Linked DNA regions of Stegostoma tigrinum. The protein of the gene in region 2 purifies or fractionates together with the protein of the main gene of each other region. This does not show direct contact. Links are inferred from orthologs where the notes say so. Each region holds a gene or a part of one and is shown on either strand. Other genes may lie near its edges. The genes, in order: irf2bpl and irf2b.

What was found.
Region 1: the proteins of irf2b (region 2) and irf2bpl purify together in Homo sapiens (affinity purification with mass spectrometry; 3 studies listed by BioGRID and IntAct, counting the BioPlex papers as one, with this or other methods). This does not show direct contact. The link is inferred for Stegostoma tigrinum from reciprocal best matches to the Homo sapiens genes IRF2 and IRF2BPL.

What each region holds. Positions count from the first base shown.
Region 1 is NC_081363.1:50,435,810-50,443,521, reverse strand, and holds the start of irf2bpl (probable E3 ubiquitin-protein ligase IRF2BPL), read right to left. Parts: upstream 3,008-7,712; 5' UTR 2,085-3,007; coding exon 102-2,084; 3' UTR 1-101. UniProt on the Homo sapiens protein: Probable E3 ubiquitin protein ligase involved in the proteasome-mediated ubiquitin-dependent degradation of target proteins. Through the degradation of CTNNB1, functions downstream of FOXF2 to negatively regulate the Wnt signaling pathway.
Region 2 is NC_081356.1:113,847,465-113,855,732, reverse strand, and holds the start of irf2b (interferon regulatory factor 2), read right to left. Parts: upstream 3,274-8,268; 5' UTR 2,760-3,273; intron 1-2,759. UniProt on the Homo sapiens protein: Specifically binds to the upstream regulatory region of type I IFN and IFN-inducible MHC class I genes (the interferon consensus sequence (ICS)) and represses those genes. Also acts as an activator for several genes including H4 and IL7.

The DNA.
Region 1 (7,712 bases), on a different chromosome or scaffold from region 2:
AAATATAGAAACATACGATGGAAATGAAAAATGTCTATACATAAGACTAACTTTCTTTTAGTTCTTATTCACATTTTACTTCAATTACTGAAGTTAAGAAATTATGGGTCTCTTTCTTTTTTGACCTTAACGTCCCCAGCTAAGATTGTAGCAATCTCTCCTTGCATGAATGCCCAAGGGACATTCGAACCTACTAAAGGGCATTTTTCTCCACTGGGGCAATAAACTTCTCCATTTGCCCCCTGCGCCTTAATGCTTTCCCGAGAACATGGGAAACAGAATTTATGATTGGGCACTGATGGGCATTGCACAAAGTGAGTATCCTCCAAACGTTCATGACAAATGGTGCAGCACAGGGGCCCGTTGTTGGCCATTGGTGAGTCTGGAATGTTTGGGGGATGAACGGGGTCAATGCTGGGGTTGGGATGGTTGTTAGGTGGTGCAACGGACAGTGCAGCATCCCCGTTCCTGGACACCATGCGGCGCTGGCCACCACCCGAGGCAGGGGACACGGGGCTGTTGCTATTCCTCCGAGTGCTGGTACTCGTGGTTGAATGTACCGAATTGCTGCTGTCCTTTGGAGAGTGGGCATTTCCAAGGGTGTCGGCCACGGACATGAGGGCAGCCATGGGCGACTGTCCATTTTGGGCGCTGCATTCGGGAGGGGTGGTCCGGTTGGGTGGCAGAGCGGAACCCCCATGAGCCACACCACTTGAGCCAAAACTGCCTGATGCCGCCATAGTAAGCTTTAAGGCTTCATTTTGGTTGGACAGCCACTGCTGCTGCCGCTCTTCCAGCTTTACACTGCCTGTTTCCGAATCGGGTTCAGGAGACGCTTTGCGTTTGCGCATCCCAGTTCTCGAGCTGTTGGGCGGGGGCCGGGGTATATTACACAGGGCGGTGGGTAAAATGGGGCAATTGGCGTCTATATGGGGCTGCGGCAGCATATCGGCCCCCACCACCTCCTTAAAGAAACGCACCGACTCAGGCAGCAGGTCACCCAGCAAGCGCCAGTCTCCCGAGCCATGTTTCTTCTCATACTCTAAGTACTTGAAACCGGACGATAGGCCTCTGCTGAAATCCTTCATGCAGTCCTGGTACATCTGCTTGGCAACTCCCGAGGCGCTGGAGAAGACATTGGCCGAACCGCTCGGGTACTCAATAAAGATCTTCAGCTCGAAGTCCATGCCGGGCTTGGAGACGGCGTCGAAGGCGAATACCCGGCCCAAAAGAGAGTGATCCTTCTTAAAGCGCACATCGAAGGGATTGCAGTTGGATAGGGTGAGCAGCGTCTCCCGCACGATCTTGGGCTTGTTGACCCAGTCCTCAGAGCGGTTTCTCAAGCTCTCGCCCAGCTCAGCCAGAGTCTCGGCATTTCTCTGTTTCTCTTTGAGTTCCCTCTCTTGGTCACTGCTGGACACTGAGCCTGGCCGTTTGTTCACATCACTCAGGACTTGACTACTGACCGTCACCGATGTCCCGGCCAAGCTGCTGGAAGGAGACGGCCTGCTTAGCAGCCCGTGTGGACCCAGAGCTCCTGCGGACGGACCGTTTAAAGTGGTCTGCGGCAGCAAGTTGGGCGGCACTGTGACGGGGCCCGGGGGCACGATGTTATGATTTCTTCGTGATGAATTGGGACTCTGGCGGTTGAGTTCCGGCGGAATGTCCTCAGGTTTGGGGAATCCGTTGGGTCCACTCAGGCCATTGGGAAGCCTGCCAGCATGGGCGAGGCTCGGGTACTCGAATCGGGGTCTCTCGCTCAAAGAATAGCGATCGACAGGCGGCTGGGGCCCTTTGGACGAGCCGTCGACGTGGTTGAGCTGTTGAGCCGCCTCTTTGCTGCCACCCAAGGACTGCACTTTGACAGGAGGCGGCCCTGGCGAGCGGCCCTCCTGGAAACCGTGAGCCCGCTTCAGTTGGCGCGCCGTCTCGATGACAAACTCGATGCGATCGGCCCCTTCGTAGTTGACGCAGCCGCGACAGACGGGCTCAGTAAAATCCCAGATCATGGCCCACGGCATGCGAGGCAGATCGCAGAGATAACACGACTGTCTCCGGGACGAAGACACCTGTGCAGCGGACATGATGCGGAAGATGTTCAGATTTGATTGTTTTCTGGGTCTCTCCGCGGTGGCCCTTTCGTACGGTATTATGGCCAGGCCTAGGCTCCCTCGCTTTCTTTGCCTTTCTCCTGCTCTTCTGTCTGCTTTCTCCTCTCCTCCCGGCCCCGCCACTCAGCTTCTCCGAGCACCACGTGACGTCAGCCGCCGCTCTGCAGCCAATACGCAAGCGCAGCCTCACTCCCCACCCCCACCGTCTAAAGCATGTGGCTTGTCTCGGCTGACTACCCTTTATCAAAGTTTCAAAACTATACTTTATTCCTTAAAAAAAAACTTTATATGCATACGTAGTCACTAAAGCAGTTTGGTTCTTCGTATACTACTGTACAGAACCAAACACTGCGGATTTGACTCTATCCAGCAAACACACCAAAAGCATTTCTGAGGAATGTACAGTCCAGTCTCTCAGCCCCTGTCCCTGAGAGTAGCCGGATCATCGTGCACATGATTTACTCCAAAACACCTAGCAATTTCAGACAGATTACGGTTGTAACGGAATAGAAACTGGTTCCTGGCCCAAAAAATGTTTTAACTGTCCATTGTAACAATTCAGTTACCAGAATACACTGCGGGAATGTCTATTAGGATAGGTCCGTGATAATTCGAAATATTAACCACGGAAGTTATGCTCAAAAGCAAAATTAGTTACCAGTACAGCTGGTATATAAATGTAAAGTTCTAAATTTAAACTACAAAATTCCAACACACCAGTTACAGCTGAATAGAAATTAAATAACATTTACTTGACTAAACAATTAGCTTTTGAGTACTTCACCCAGTCGAACAGATCGAGAAACAAATTATGATAACAGGAATTCCTTTAACCGTCTTAAAAGTTCAACACTTGACAATAGAAAGTAATTACTTATTTAAGTATGCACTTTATACAGTATATTAAATCAGTCTAGGTTTTCCCCCGCCCCCCCCAGCTGCAGCTCTAGTCCCGCCCCATGACGTCAGGGCTTGTTCTAGTTCAGTTCCCTTCAGAATGTCGCAACTCCCTAGCGTTTTGCACCGAGTCACTCAATGAGCAGACATTTCATTCTCTGCTGCTAATTCTGGACTGAAGCAGCTCGATTGTTTTGTAGGCTCCCATTTTATTGGTAGGAATCTGCTCAATACCAAGTGCATGTACTTTTAAGGCTGACGCTATACTAATGCAAAGGGTCCGTTTTTAATACGACAATCTTAGCAATTTGAAGCATGATGGGAAAATTGTAAAATCGAGTCATCATAACGTCAGAAAAGTATAAAATAATTTCATAGGTTAGAACACCAGCTAAATATCTAGCAAATTATGCAACTTCCACCCACATATAACCAGCCTAATGCTAGTTTCCTGTTGTGCAATTTTGTGCGTGTAAACTTCAATCGAAAACGAAAAGCTCCCTCCCAATGAACGCTTCTATTTACTTTTCATGAAAGTAGTTACCCAATGGTGCGAGCCCCGAGGTGAGGGAGTTGCTGCTTGTTTTTCCAGTACAGTACGGTTTAATTATTAACATGGATGTGGGCCATCAACTTCGAAAGCTACGTCAGCACTATAAAATAAATAACTACTTGGTTACTGTTTAATTTAACTCGAACTTGTAATGGTTGTAGGTAATCTAAAAGAGAGCAGAAAAAAAAGTCAATTGGAAAAAATATTTTAAAACATATCTAAATTGTCCTTTAACGTAATGCATTTCCGTGAACACTGAAACGGATCCACATTTGCCCAACACATATCAGTTACTGAACTATAAGTTCATTTAACTTATTCATTTAAAATAATTCCGAAAGGAAAAATAATTTTGTCTTGCATTCTAAAGTCGAACTTAAATCTCACACTACACCCTTCCCCCACCTTGTATAAAAAGAAATGATCCGTGGCACACTCAGATCCCATTCCTGGGGGGAACTCAATGTTTTAATCAGGGTAAACACAACTTCACAAGAGTTTTTTTTAATGTAAGCAAGTGTCACCAGAAGCTGACAAAACGGAAATGTGTTTAAATATCAAAACTGCAGTATTTAAGCATCTTAGTAGTACAACTGGAATTCGGAACTTGAAAAGGATTGTTAAACAGTTTTTATTTCAAAAAAAGCTTCAAAACGTGCGACTACCTTACAGCTTTATATAATTTATTAACCCCTTTAAAAATAATGAGGTGAACGGTTTATTCCTCTGTTCCCGACCATGAAACAACATCAAGAAAAAATGGAAAATGCATTTCAAAGGATCTTGGCTCAACAGACTATTAAGCATTTTATCGACGCATGGTATCGTGCCCACCGATTTTAAAAAAACGCACTGCAAGTCACGACGCAGAATTGAAAAAATAAAACAGAATTATGACATTGAAGTCATTGTTCCATCTGAGCTTTTAGTGTGAGATAGTTAATGTAAATTTACTTAAGAACATTCTAACTCCCTCTCCGCTCACACCACGAGGGCAGAGGGCATCCACTGTTATTTTGTCTGAAATAACGATACCTTAGGCCTCGTTTAAATCGCATGGACTTATTTTTAGAAGTAGTTATTATTTTGAGACGCCCACTCTCAATTCCCCAAGATTGATCAAGCTCTGAATGCTAGTAAGGCTATAACGCTAGGTTATTTTTTCGTATCGCCCTTGCTATGCCACCTTGTTCAACACAGAATACTACGCGAAAGGGAATATGCGAGACCACGAAAAATACAACTGCGCAATCCAATTTTAGTAAACATTGGAAATGCCAAAAATAGTTATTAGTATTTTTTCTTTGCTATACTTTCTGTTCCAAAATAACATTCGCTTCTTTCAAGAGATTCAATAAGAATGTTCCTTTAAGAGCCCTAAATTATTGCTGTCTTCTGTTCTACTGTTTATTTGCACTGAAAATCGATGCTTCATTTAGGGATTAAAGAAATTCATCAGTCTTCATTTCCTATCAAGTGTTACAGATGATCATACTAACTGCTATGGGGAATGAGGGGAATGTCCAAGCCCTGGAAAAATAAATGCACACATGTCCGCCTATGTTAACCCCAACGAATTTTAACAGTTGTTTGTAGCTATAATAGGATTTTTAAAAATCATACAGTCAACAGGATTTTGGCAGACAGATTGAAAATCCCCTTCACAGCTGTAAATAATTAAACTCACAGATCAAAATAAAACATGTATAGTTCATCTCAAATTGGAAAGCTTGATGTAAGGATACCATGAAACACAAACATTTTGCTTCTGTTCCTTAATGTAAATACAAAAACGATTGGTGAATTTTAAAAACTTTCCTTTTTACTTTCAATAGGACACAAGGTGCAGGCACAATGTACATTAGGAGACTGTTTTACCTTGAGCAACAGTTTTCATATTCTTAATAATCGGTAATGGATATGTCCTCATTATGCAAAGAGCAAGGTCCTAATTTAAAGTAAACTTAAATAATCTGAACCTGTTTCTTAATCTGTAGCCAAAAATAGATTTATTCCAAAATTGGCAAATGATATGGTACTCAGCTGTGAATGTGAAACTATTTCCCTACTGTGTTCATCATGGCATATCTTTATTTAGTGAAACAGTTATCATACTTAACCAGTGAAAACGACCATTTTAGTTAAAGAACCAACAGTTTTTTTTAGTAGATTTACGATAGATTAACTTCTATTAAAGTTAAAAATTCTGCCTGGACTAAACTGGCATTACAGTATCTTTTACTTTAGGTTTTTAAGACAATTTGCATGTTAATTCTCAATTTTTAGAAGTGATTTTCATGAAGGTGTTCATCTCCACTTGGAGCTAGTGCTACTGATAATCAGCCATTATGATCCAAGCTGATGTTGATCCTAGACAAGTCAGATCCCAAAAAGAAATCTGGGCTTGATACATCAGATGTTTACATTTGCAGGCAGTTACTGTGGTAATTAGCCACTAACACAAATTCACACAAGACTGCAGATATCCTTTAACAATTAAACATTCGCGAATTACACAAAATCTAGAGGGCATAGGTTAAAGGTAAGAGGGGAAAGATTTAAAAGGAAGCAACTTTTTCACACAGAGGGTGGTGAGTGTATGAAATGAGCTGCCAGAGGAGGTGGTGAAGGGGGGTACAATTATACCATTTAAAAGTGAAATGGATGGTTATATAAATATAAAACATTTAAAGGGATATGGGTCAAATGCTGGCAAATGGGACTAGGTCAGATTGGGATGTCTAGTCAAATGGAGGAGTTGCACTGAAGGGTTTGTTTTACGTGCTGTATGAGTCGAAGCAATTTTTTGATGAATTTGTACTTCATTACTGCCAAGCATCTCTGTAGCACAATTTTCTTTTTTACATGTATATTCGACTTGTATTACTGTTTTAGATTTCTTTTTTACTTTGCCTTTCTTTAACATTTCTATCTTGATCCTATCTTGCCTACCCACTCTATTTTTCTTTATGTTTGTGATTTTAATTATAGCTTCAGTCCAACTATCACACCTGACTTTGCTGATATACACTTGTACCCCATCACCTCCAATTGAAATTTCTGATTCTCATATTTAAATTTTATGTCCTCATCATTTCCTACCAATATCACATCCTGCAGTTCTACAATTCTCTAATCTGCCTAGAAAAACAAATGTTTAAATCAAACGACCTCAAAGCAACTGCTCAGCAAATAACTAATTGATATAGAATTTGTAGTGTCATGAGACCACGAGGATTGCTGGTGGGCAAGGGAAAATAGATACTGCTTCAGTGAAGTTGATTTACCCGGTTGAGGTAGAATGAGGGGAGTGCTACTCTTTTATCTGGCTTGTGAAATTTCTATCATGGGAAATGTTTAAAGTTGACACTGAGCAAAGTAAATGGGTTTTCAAGTACAGGCAGAAATATTAAAACAAAAGTTGACTGGACCTTTAAAGTATTGTAGATTTCAAGAAAAGAACTGACATACCGTGGAAGTAATGATTTTTTTTCCTAAGTAGGAGACTTTGGTATTTCATTTCCCAAATTGAGAAATGAAATGCATCCTCACCATGTTTTTATTTGATTATGCAAAAATAATGCCTGAAACTGTAATGAAAGGTATATAATATGTAGGTTTTAAATAGATGCCGATGGTTGTGGGTTAGTTCTGTGAAGATTTTTGATTAAAAACAGGTCAGAATGTTATGTTAAACAGTGACTTGGTGCATCATCATCAAGAAAGCATGTGACTGTATTTAGGTGCCTGGGAAAACTTCCCCTCAGTGTTGATAGATAGAATGTTTATATATTACTGAGTTAACAATAAACCAAATGCCAGAAGATTCAAAGTATCAGTTCAGAAGAATTAGGAGTTCAATTTATAAGGGAGATCAGTTTTTCCTAGGATGAGAATAAAGAATTTAGTTCAGATGGACCAGTCATCATTGCAAAGGGTTTTAGTTTGTGGAACATCTAAGACAAGAGAGTTTCAGGTTGTTAGAACTGAAAAAAATAGATCTGACTTGACAGAAGTTCATATCAACAAATTTAGAAAAGAATCAGAAAATTAACCCTGCATTCCAAACAAAGGAATTTTGGAGTTGTAATAGAGTACCTTGAAAAGCATAATGTTGAGTAACAGGTTGAAACGTTGCCTTGCTGTTTATG
Region 2 (8,268 bases):
TAGTGGTCACAGTGTTACACAGCACAGAAGCAGACCCTTCAATCCAACTTGTCCGCACTGCCCAGATATCCTAAACTGATCTAGGATAACAAAATGTGGAGCTGGATGAACACAGCAGACCAAGCAGCATCTCAGGAGCACAAAAGCTGACGTTTTGAGGGTCTAGGCCCGAAACGTCAGCTTTTGTGCTCCCGAGATGCTGCTTGGCCTGCTGTGTTCATCCAGCTCCACACTTTGTTATCTTGGATTCTACAGCATCTGCAGTTCCCACTATCACTAAACTGATCTAGACCCATTTTCCAGCAGTTGGCCTATATCCCTCTAAATCTTCCTGTTCGTGAACCCATCCAGATGCCTCTCAAGTGTTGTAATTGTAACCACCTCCACCACTTTCTATGGCAGCTCATTCTATACAGACACCAACCTCTGCATGAAAGTGTTGCCCCTAAGGTCCCTTTTAAATCTTTCTCCTCTCACCTTAAAACTATGCCCTCCAGGTTTGGACTCCGCTGCCATGGGAAAAAGACCTTAGATATTCACCCTATCCATGCCCCTCCACAGTTCAGAAGCAGTTGCCGAAGGAGCCTTAGTTAGTACAGTGCCTTTTATAGATTGTAGCCACTGCTATCGCTGTGCATCAAATGTGGAGTGAGTGAAAGTTTAAAGGTAGTAGTTTGGGGCTTCTGTGTGGGTGCTGAGAGTTGCACTACTTGAGTTGCTCAATCCTGGACAGACCCACCAATCAATACATATAGCAGACCTTCCCCAAAGGATGTGGTGTCAGGCTTTCAGTGGCTCTGTAACTCGTGACTGAGACCCATATTTGCTGGATTAAATACCTAATGTTGCATCACAGCCTTTTCACATATTAAATTTGAACTGGTGGTTTTATCCACACGTTCCCTCTCCATAACTTTGACAATCATTTTACTGCAATTATTTGCTAATCTATTTTTTGAAACACTGATGTACTGGGTCTTAAAACTATATTAAACAAAAATCACCATTCTGTACAAGATTTAAGTTTTGGTTTTAAATTTAAATCTCTAACCTTAAATTAAATTATTTTGTGACCATATTAAACACATATAATTAAACAGGAACAGGCTATTCGGCCTAGGAGCTCCTCAACAGAGTTCGTACTTCACACAAGCTTCCTCCCACTTTATTTTTAATTTCACACAATCACCGAATCCTTCTTTTTATTTCAATCTCATGTCGTTACTTAACTTTGCCTAAAATGTGTGCGCTATTATTCGGCTCGGCCATTCCATGTGGTCGCACTTTCCACGGTCCAACTATCTAAATCTAACTCAGTCTTTGAGGAGTTTCCTCCTGAGGAGCTTTTGCTCCTGCCTATCCTGGACTCCGCCACGACACCCTACAGATATCCAGTCACACTTTTCCGAACCCGTTTGTAATTTTAAAGGCCTCTTTTAAATTGGCCCCATCTCACGCCTCTCTTTCCTAACGAAACCATTCAAGCCTTTTCTGATAGCCATACCCCCCACAGTTTCTGGTAAACTTACAACACACCTTCTCCACTGCTTGTATTATCATCTTTTTAAACATGGAGACTCGAATTGTACACTTTACTCAGGTCTAACTCTGATACTGAATCCTATGAATCCTAGTCCCCTACATGCTTCAAGTAAAAACATGTTTTCTTCTTTCACGCTGACATATTTCCCAACTTGTGTGTGTGTTTTTTTAAACACTGTAATTCTCCAATTATATAACGCAACCTCATCTGTTCACCTCGGGTTGACAGTTTAACATGGGGAAGGAGACATGTACATTGGCTGCAATCTCCGTCAGTCAGTGGCTCGACGCCATCTCATTGTCCGCTCCCTCTATCAATCACATTCCTTTCCTTGCCATTCGTCCACGGAGATGTCAATTAAAATATCAGCCCGCCTTTGACGCGCCCGGAGATCGGAAGGCGGAAGTGAGTTTACTAAAAAAAGGATTAAAACTAACAAAAGCTTCCAAAAAAAACCAACACGGGCCCTCATTACAGCAGCCCCAAACCTTTTTTAAAATAAAAAGTTACAAGTCATGACAATTGCAATCCGAGTTTCTACATTTAATGTCGGTTGAACTGGCAATGTTGTCCTATAAATACGCGTTGACGCCACTGCAGGATTATCTGAATTTCCCAAATCGAACTGTCAAGAGTTTAACACATTTCAGTTTATAATGTCTTCCCATTAATTTAGCAACCTAGACCTGATGATATCTTCCTTAATCCAAAACGAGCAAACCCAAACTGCTGGTTCCTCCATATTTTAACACAGAGACTGAAAAGGATCCAAGTTTTCCAACAATCGGCAAGACGGAACCAGACTTATTTTTGTCAAACAGTGCACTTGTTGACCCAAAGGTCGACTGCACTTGAACCAACCCCTCCGCAAAAAAATTCAACAATCAGTAGCATTTTGTTAAAGAAACAAACTGAGCAAATCAAATTGCATGTGTCGGCAAAAATCCAAGTCCGGGATTAACTAAATTACCAACATTTGCAGAGGTGTTTATGGTAAAAACGAAACTAAAACTGCCTTAAAAAAGAGAAAGCTCGGCGCTGAAAATGTTGGAAACACTTTTAGTTTTCCTTTTGCAGCGCGGTTCGACGCTTTATGTTTCTTTCTTTTTAGTCACAAAATGCTGACATTTCTCATGCACCTAAAAATGTTGCAATACAAAATTATCGACTTCCTGCTCTATGCATTTCAAATATTTTGACAAAACCTGTTTGTTACCTCCAAATCCCCACTTCCAAAGATAAATGATCCCTGGTGTTTTCAAAGTGGCTGACAGCGGGACGGTCACGTCAAGAAAGTGAGGGGGGGGGTGGTGGAACACGTACAGATACGACCAAAGAGACAAAACCCAAGCCCCCCGTCCTGCCAGTTGCAGAATTAGATCGAAAGTAAAAGAAGGCGGCGGAAGGCTGGAAATTCCATCCCCCCCCCCCCGATTTGTTTTCGTGTTTGTGCCTTAAGAATTTACAACATCGCCTGGGCGGGCCTCACTCCACCGACTGCGGAAGTCCTCCGCAAACTTCCATTGGTCTGACGGGCTGCATCGATTCCTCAGAAATTCATTTTCAGTTTTCACATCCCCAGACCGTCAGCTCGGAGAGTGAAGTGTGTCGGGGCACCCACCGGGGGGGATCTGGCGGCCGGAGCTCCGCCGGGGCGGGGGTGGCTGGGTTGGCAGTGCGGTGGCCGAAGATGGTTGAGTGGGGGGAGGGTGGTGAGGGATCGGTGGCCGAAGATCCCTGGGTTATGGGATCGGGGGGGGGGGGGCGGTGTTGTTGGTCTGGTGTCCGGAAGTCGTCGGACGTTATTTGGGGGTGGGGGTGCGGTTGGAGAGGGGATGTCCGGAGATCTGCTGGTCGGAGATCCCTGTGGGGTGGAAGGGTCGGTCTCTCTCCAGTCTCTCGGGCACAGCGAGCGGACAGAAAGCCCCCACCCCCGGTGCTGCCCTGACCTTCACAGGTCGAGCCTGAGAAGCTATATTTATCCCCATGTTTGTGCACACACGCGATTCCCCCACCCCGTGATATAAATTTCAACGATTAAACAAAATAATTCATGTATTGTTTGGCTACAAAAATACTCTGCTTTCTTTCGTTGAGAGCCTGTTACTGTAAGAAATGTCTAATTATTTACCGCCCGTTAAAGTTTCATTTCACATACTCACAAGATACTGATGTGTGGAACTGTTAGAGCAAACACATTTTTAGTTTTGTTATAATTAATGGATCTGGTTATTAAATTTGGAAAGGTGCAAAAATTAATATTGATGGAAAATGGTTTTACAGTGAGAGAAACAAGGAGAAACTGTTACATACTGAGTTGTTATCCCCTCGTGTTATTTGGTAGCTAACCCTGTTATAGCTGTGTTAATTCCGTGTACTCCAGAAAGTTTAACTGTGACTTGTTACAAAGTTATACGGCCTACTTTGTAACTCTCACATCTTCTGATGCAGAAGCAGTAACTCGCCCACCATGGGTTGTAATTTCCCTCTGGCTGCTTTTAACCATTAACCGTGAGAATAGATTGCGACACCTCAACAAATGGGCCTGCGTTGCAACCATGTCTATGCTTTTCCATGCGGCACAAAAATCAGCTCAGCTGATTTTATTCTCCATTTCTTGTCGCTGCTGCTTTTTTTCGGATAGGATAGCAAAGTACTCTGCATTTCAGAATCATCGAGAATGCCAGATGGATACGCTACGGCTTAGAATCATAGAGTTTTACAGTACAGTAGGGGACCATTTGACCAATGGTTTCTGTGGTTCCTGTAAAGCTACGCAGCAAGTTCGATTCCCTATCCCTTCTTTATCCCTGTAAATTCATCCAAATCATGTGCTACCTTGCCAACATGATTGTTACCTGCACAATGTGTACATGGCTTCACAGAATTGTTACAGTGCAGAAGGAGACCATTTGGTGCATCTTGTCTGCGCTGTCTTTATATTTTAAATTTACTCAGTCACAGATCTACTGCGCCAAAAGAAGACCCTTTGGACCATCACGTATGTGCATGTCAAAAGCAACGTCTTAACGCTTCCAGCCCCATTTTCCAGCAGTCATTGCCAATTAACTGTCTTTTCCCATAACTCAGGACATTGTTTCAAGTTAATTAATTACCAATGCCCTCTGGAATGCCTTTATTGAACCTCCCTCCACCCACTTTCCAGGCTACATTCCCTCTAAGCTGTGCCTGTGTGTCTCCTTACTGATGGTCCATGGTTTTCAATGTTAACATGCCAATTGCAACATTGACTTCTGATTGCTGAAGTCAGTGCCACACAAGGGCCTCAGGGGCCTGTGCAGCTGATAAAAATGTTAGAGGGAACACTGCTATCAGGAAGTACATTCCAGACCCTCAATATTTTGAAAACATTTAATAAATCTCCTCTTACCTTTCTGTTCTCTGAGGAGAACATCCCCAACATCTCCAATTTTTCCTTATAACTGAAGTTTCTCAGCTCTGGAACCATCCTCAATGGCCTTTTCCGCACTGTTCCCAAAACATTCACAAACTTCCTATAGTGTGACACTCAGAACTGTATGCCATGTTCCAGCTGACATCTAACTTTGATTTAATCAGATTTTACTTGTTACGAAATACAGTGAAAAGTGTTGCATAGTGGAAAAAATAAACCAAAACCTCGAATAATATGGCAGACAAATAAAGAAAAAGTGTTCAGCTTTACAGTCCATCTTGTTAAGTGCTCCACGATAGGTCATGGGCCTGGTGGCCAGGCAAGAGCCCCTTCACCGTGCCACTGGAGCGAAAGTCACCACTCCAGTGCCATCTTGCCATCCATTGACACCCTCACCATTATCAGTCCTCGTTGGACCTCACCAATGCAGATGTCACTGGGTGCTACATTGGCCCAAACTTGACTCTACAGCCACTATGACTCCTCTTCAGGCCTACCCCGCCAATGCCGCAGGCTCTTATACTGGGTACAAATGCACCACCGCTGCCTGCCCTGGCCACAGACACTGACAAAAATACAAATTCATCTCCTCCACTGCAGCCATGAGTCAGTGCTAGGACAGCCTCAACAATGCAGAAGGCACCAGGAACCCAAACATTCTGCAACTCTGATGCTGTGAGTCCACACTGGGCTATCTCAAGTCTGCACTAGGCCCACTCACTAGTAGCCTAGATAAGAGTCCTACATTAGTTCAAAATAACTTCCCTGCACTTATATTCTATGCTTCTGTTAATGATACCTAGTATACTGTATACGTTATTAACAGCTCTCTCAACCTGTCCTATCACATTTAATTAACTATTTACATATATACTGAGATCTCCATGCACCTGCCCACGTTTTAGAACAGTACCATATTTTGTTTTGTCTTTCCATCTTGTTTGGATCAAGTCAATCACTTCACATTTCTCTAATTTGTACTTTATTTATCACCTATCTGCCCATTCTATCAACTTGAAGTTCTATACTGTGCTCACAGTTTACTATTTTCCCAAGTTTTGCATCATTCACAAGCTTAGAACTTGTCCCTCGCATACCAAGATCTGGATCATTCAAATACATAAGGAAAAACAAATGACTTGACCCCTGGGAAATTCCACTACAAATCTTTTTCCAGCCTGAAAAATACCCATTAATCATGACTCGGTTTCCTGTCACCCAGTCAATTTTGTATTCACATTGAGACTGTTGTGTTTTCTCCATGATCTATACTTTCCTCACAAGTCTGTTAATTGGCACTATGTCAAAACCCTTATGATACTTCCAGAAGTACTAACCTCTATGTTACTTCTTTCCCCAACCCCATTCTCAATGATGCACTGCACTGGCATTTGTTCACAGATGCATATGTTACAGCCACGTTAGCACTATATTTTCAGAAGTCCTCAAAGGCTTAACAGATAAATGTACTGCCACAGAATCAGAAAATGATCCATGGCAAAGAGAGGCCATTCAACCCACCACATCTGTGCCAGCTCTTTGATAGAACTAGCCAATTATTAATGGTTGCTGTTATCCTTTAGCTTTGTTTTTTTTCTTTCCTCCTGACTTATTTAATTTTCTTTTGAAAGTTTCTATTAAACCTCTGAAGGTTTTTGACCATCGCAGATTTGATGGGCCTTTGTTCTGTGCAATAAACCTCTAAGAAGACTCTCCATTCTTTCACACACTGCATTCCAAATTGCCACAAGTTTCTGTTTAAAACAATGCTTCCTCATCTGGCCTCTGTTATTTTTGTGAATCATCCTCAAACTGTGCCGTCTGGTCAGGAACTCTCTTCCACTAGGAAGAGATTCTCTATAGTTCTCAAAACCCTTCCCAGTGCTCCTGCTAACCTCTTCTGTTTTAAGGACAGATTCCAGTCTCTCCCTGTGTAAGTGAAGTTCCCAATACATGATGTAGTCTCACCAATGTTTTATAAAGATTTAATCATTTCTGGAGTTGAACAAAGCTGGTGTAAATACAGACTTTCAGTTCTTATAAATTTATTTATGTTTAAAATTAATTACAAAATGGCTGACCACTTAGGAATGTGGAGCAGCTGAAGTCCTTTTTCATGAATGATAAAGGATTGAGATAAGACTAGGTATTAAGAATGGACTTCTGTAGGAGTTCAGAGTGTGGGTTTCAATAAAATCTGGGATGTCGCAAATCATTTACCTTTGAAATGTTGCAAATAAAGCATGATCTGTGGGCAAGAGCTGCCGAAATTGTGCTTTTCACTGATCTGCATTTAATTGTTGATTTAAATTTAAGTAACTGCAAGCTAGAGGGCGTTTAACTGTCAGTAAGTCATTGGCTGGGTATTAATTAGATTGTTTTATTTGTTCATTCACCGGAAGTGAGCATCACTGGCAAAGCCAATACTTATTTCCAATTCAGTATGTTAAAAAAACAAAGGTAGAAAAATGGTGGCCTCTTACAGTCTGAAACTGGAGCACTGATAGTGGAGAATGAAGAAATGGCAGAGCAATTCAGCAACACTATTAGTTCTGTCTTTGCAGAAAAAGACAAATAATTTCATAGATGTACTAGGGAAAATAGACTCTATTGGGAAAGATAAATCCAAGGAATTATTATTTTAAAAATTGATGGAGAAATTAATGGGCCTGAAAGCTGATAAATTCCCAGGGCTTGATAATCTACATTCCAGCGTACTAAAGGAGGTGGTATTAAAATAGTGGATGCATTGGTTGTTATCTTCCAAACTTCTGAGGATTCTGGAACAGTTCTGGCAGATTAAAGGGTGGAAAATGTAACCTCACTATTTTACAAAAGGAGAAAGGGACAAACCAAGAATTACAGGCCAGTTAACCTGACAACAGTAATAGGAGATAATAGGAACTGCAGATGCTGGAGAATCCAAGATAACAAAGAGTGGGACTGGATGAACACAGCAGGTGCAGCAGCATCTATATAAATGTTGGAGACTATTATAAATATGTGAGGATGTGATAACAGACACTTAGAAAATAGTAGGATTGCATGAAGTCTGCATGGATTTATGAAAGGGAAATCATGTTTGACAGACTTATTAAAGTTTTTTAAGGATCTAATGAGTAGAATCAATGAGGAAAAACAGCTAGATGTATGTTTGGATTTTCAGAGATCTTTTGATTTGTTCTACATTAGAGGTTATTGTGCAAAATTAATGTACATGGAATTGATGGAAATGTCATGGCATGGATTGAGAACTGGTTAGCAGACAGGAAGCAGAATGCTCTCTGATGAAGGGTCTAGGCCCGAAACG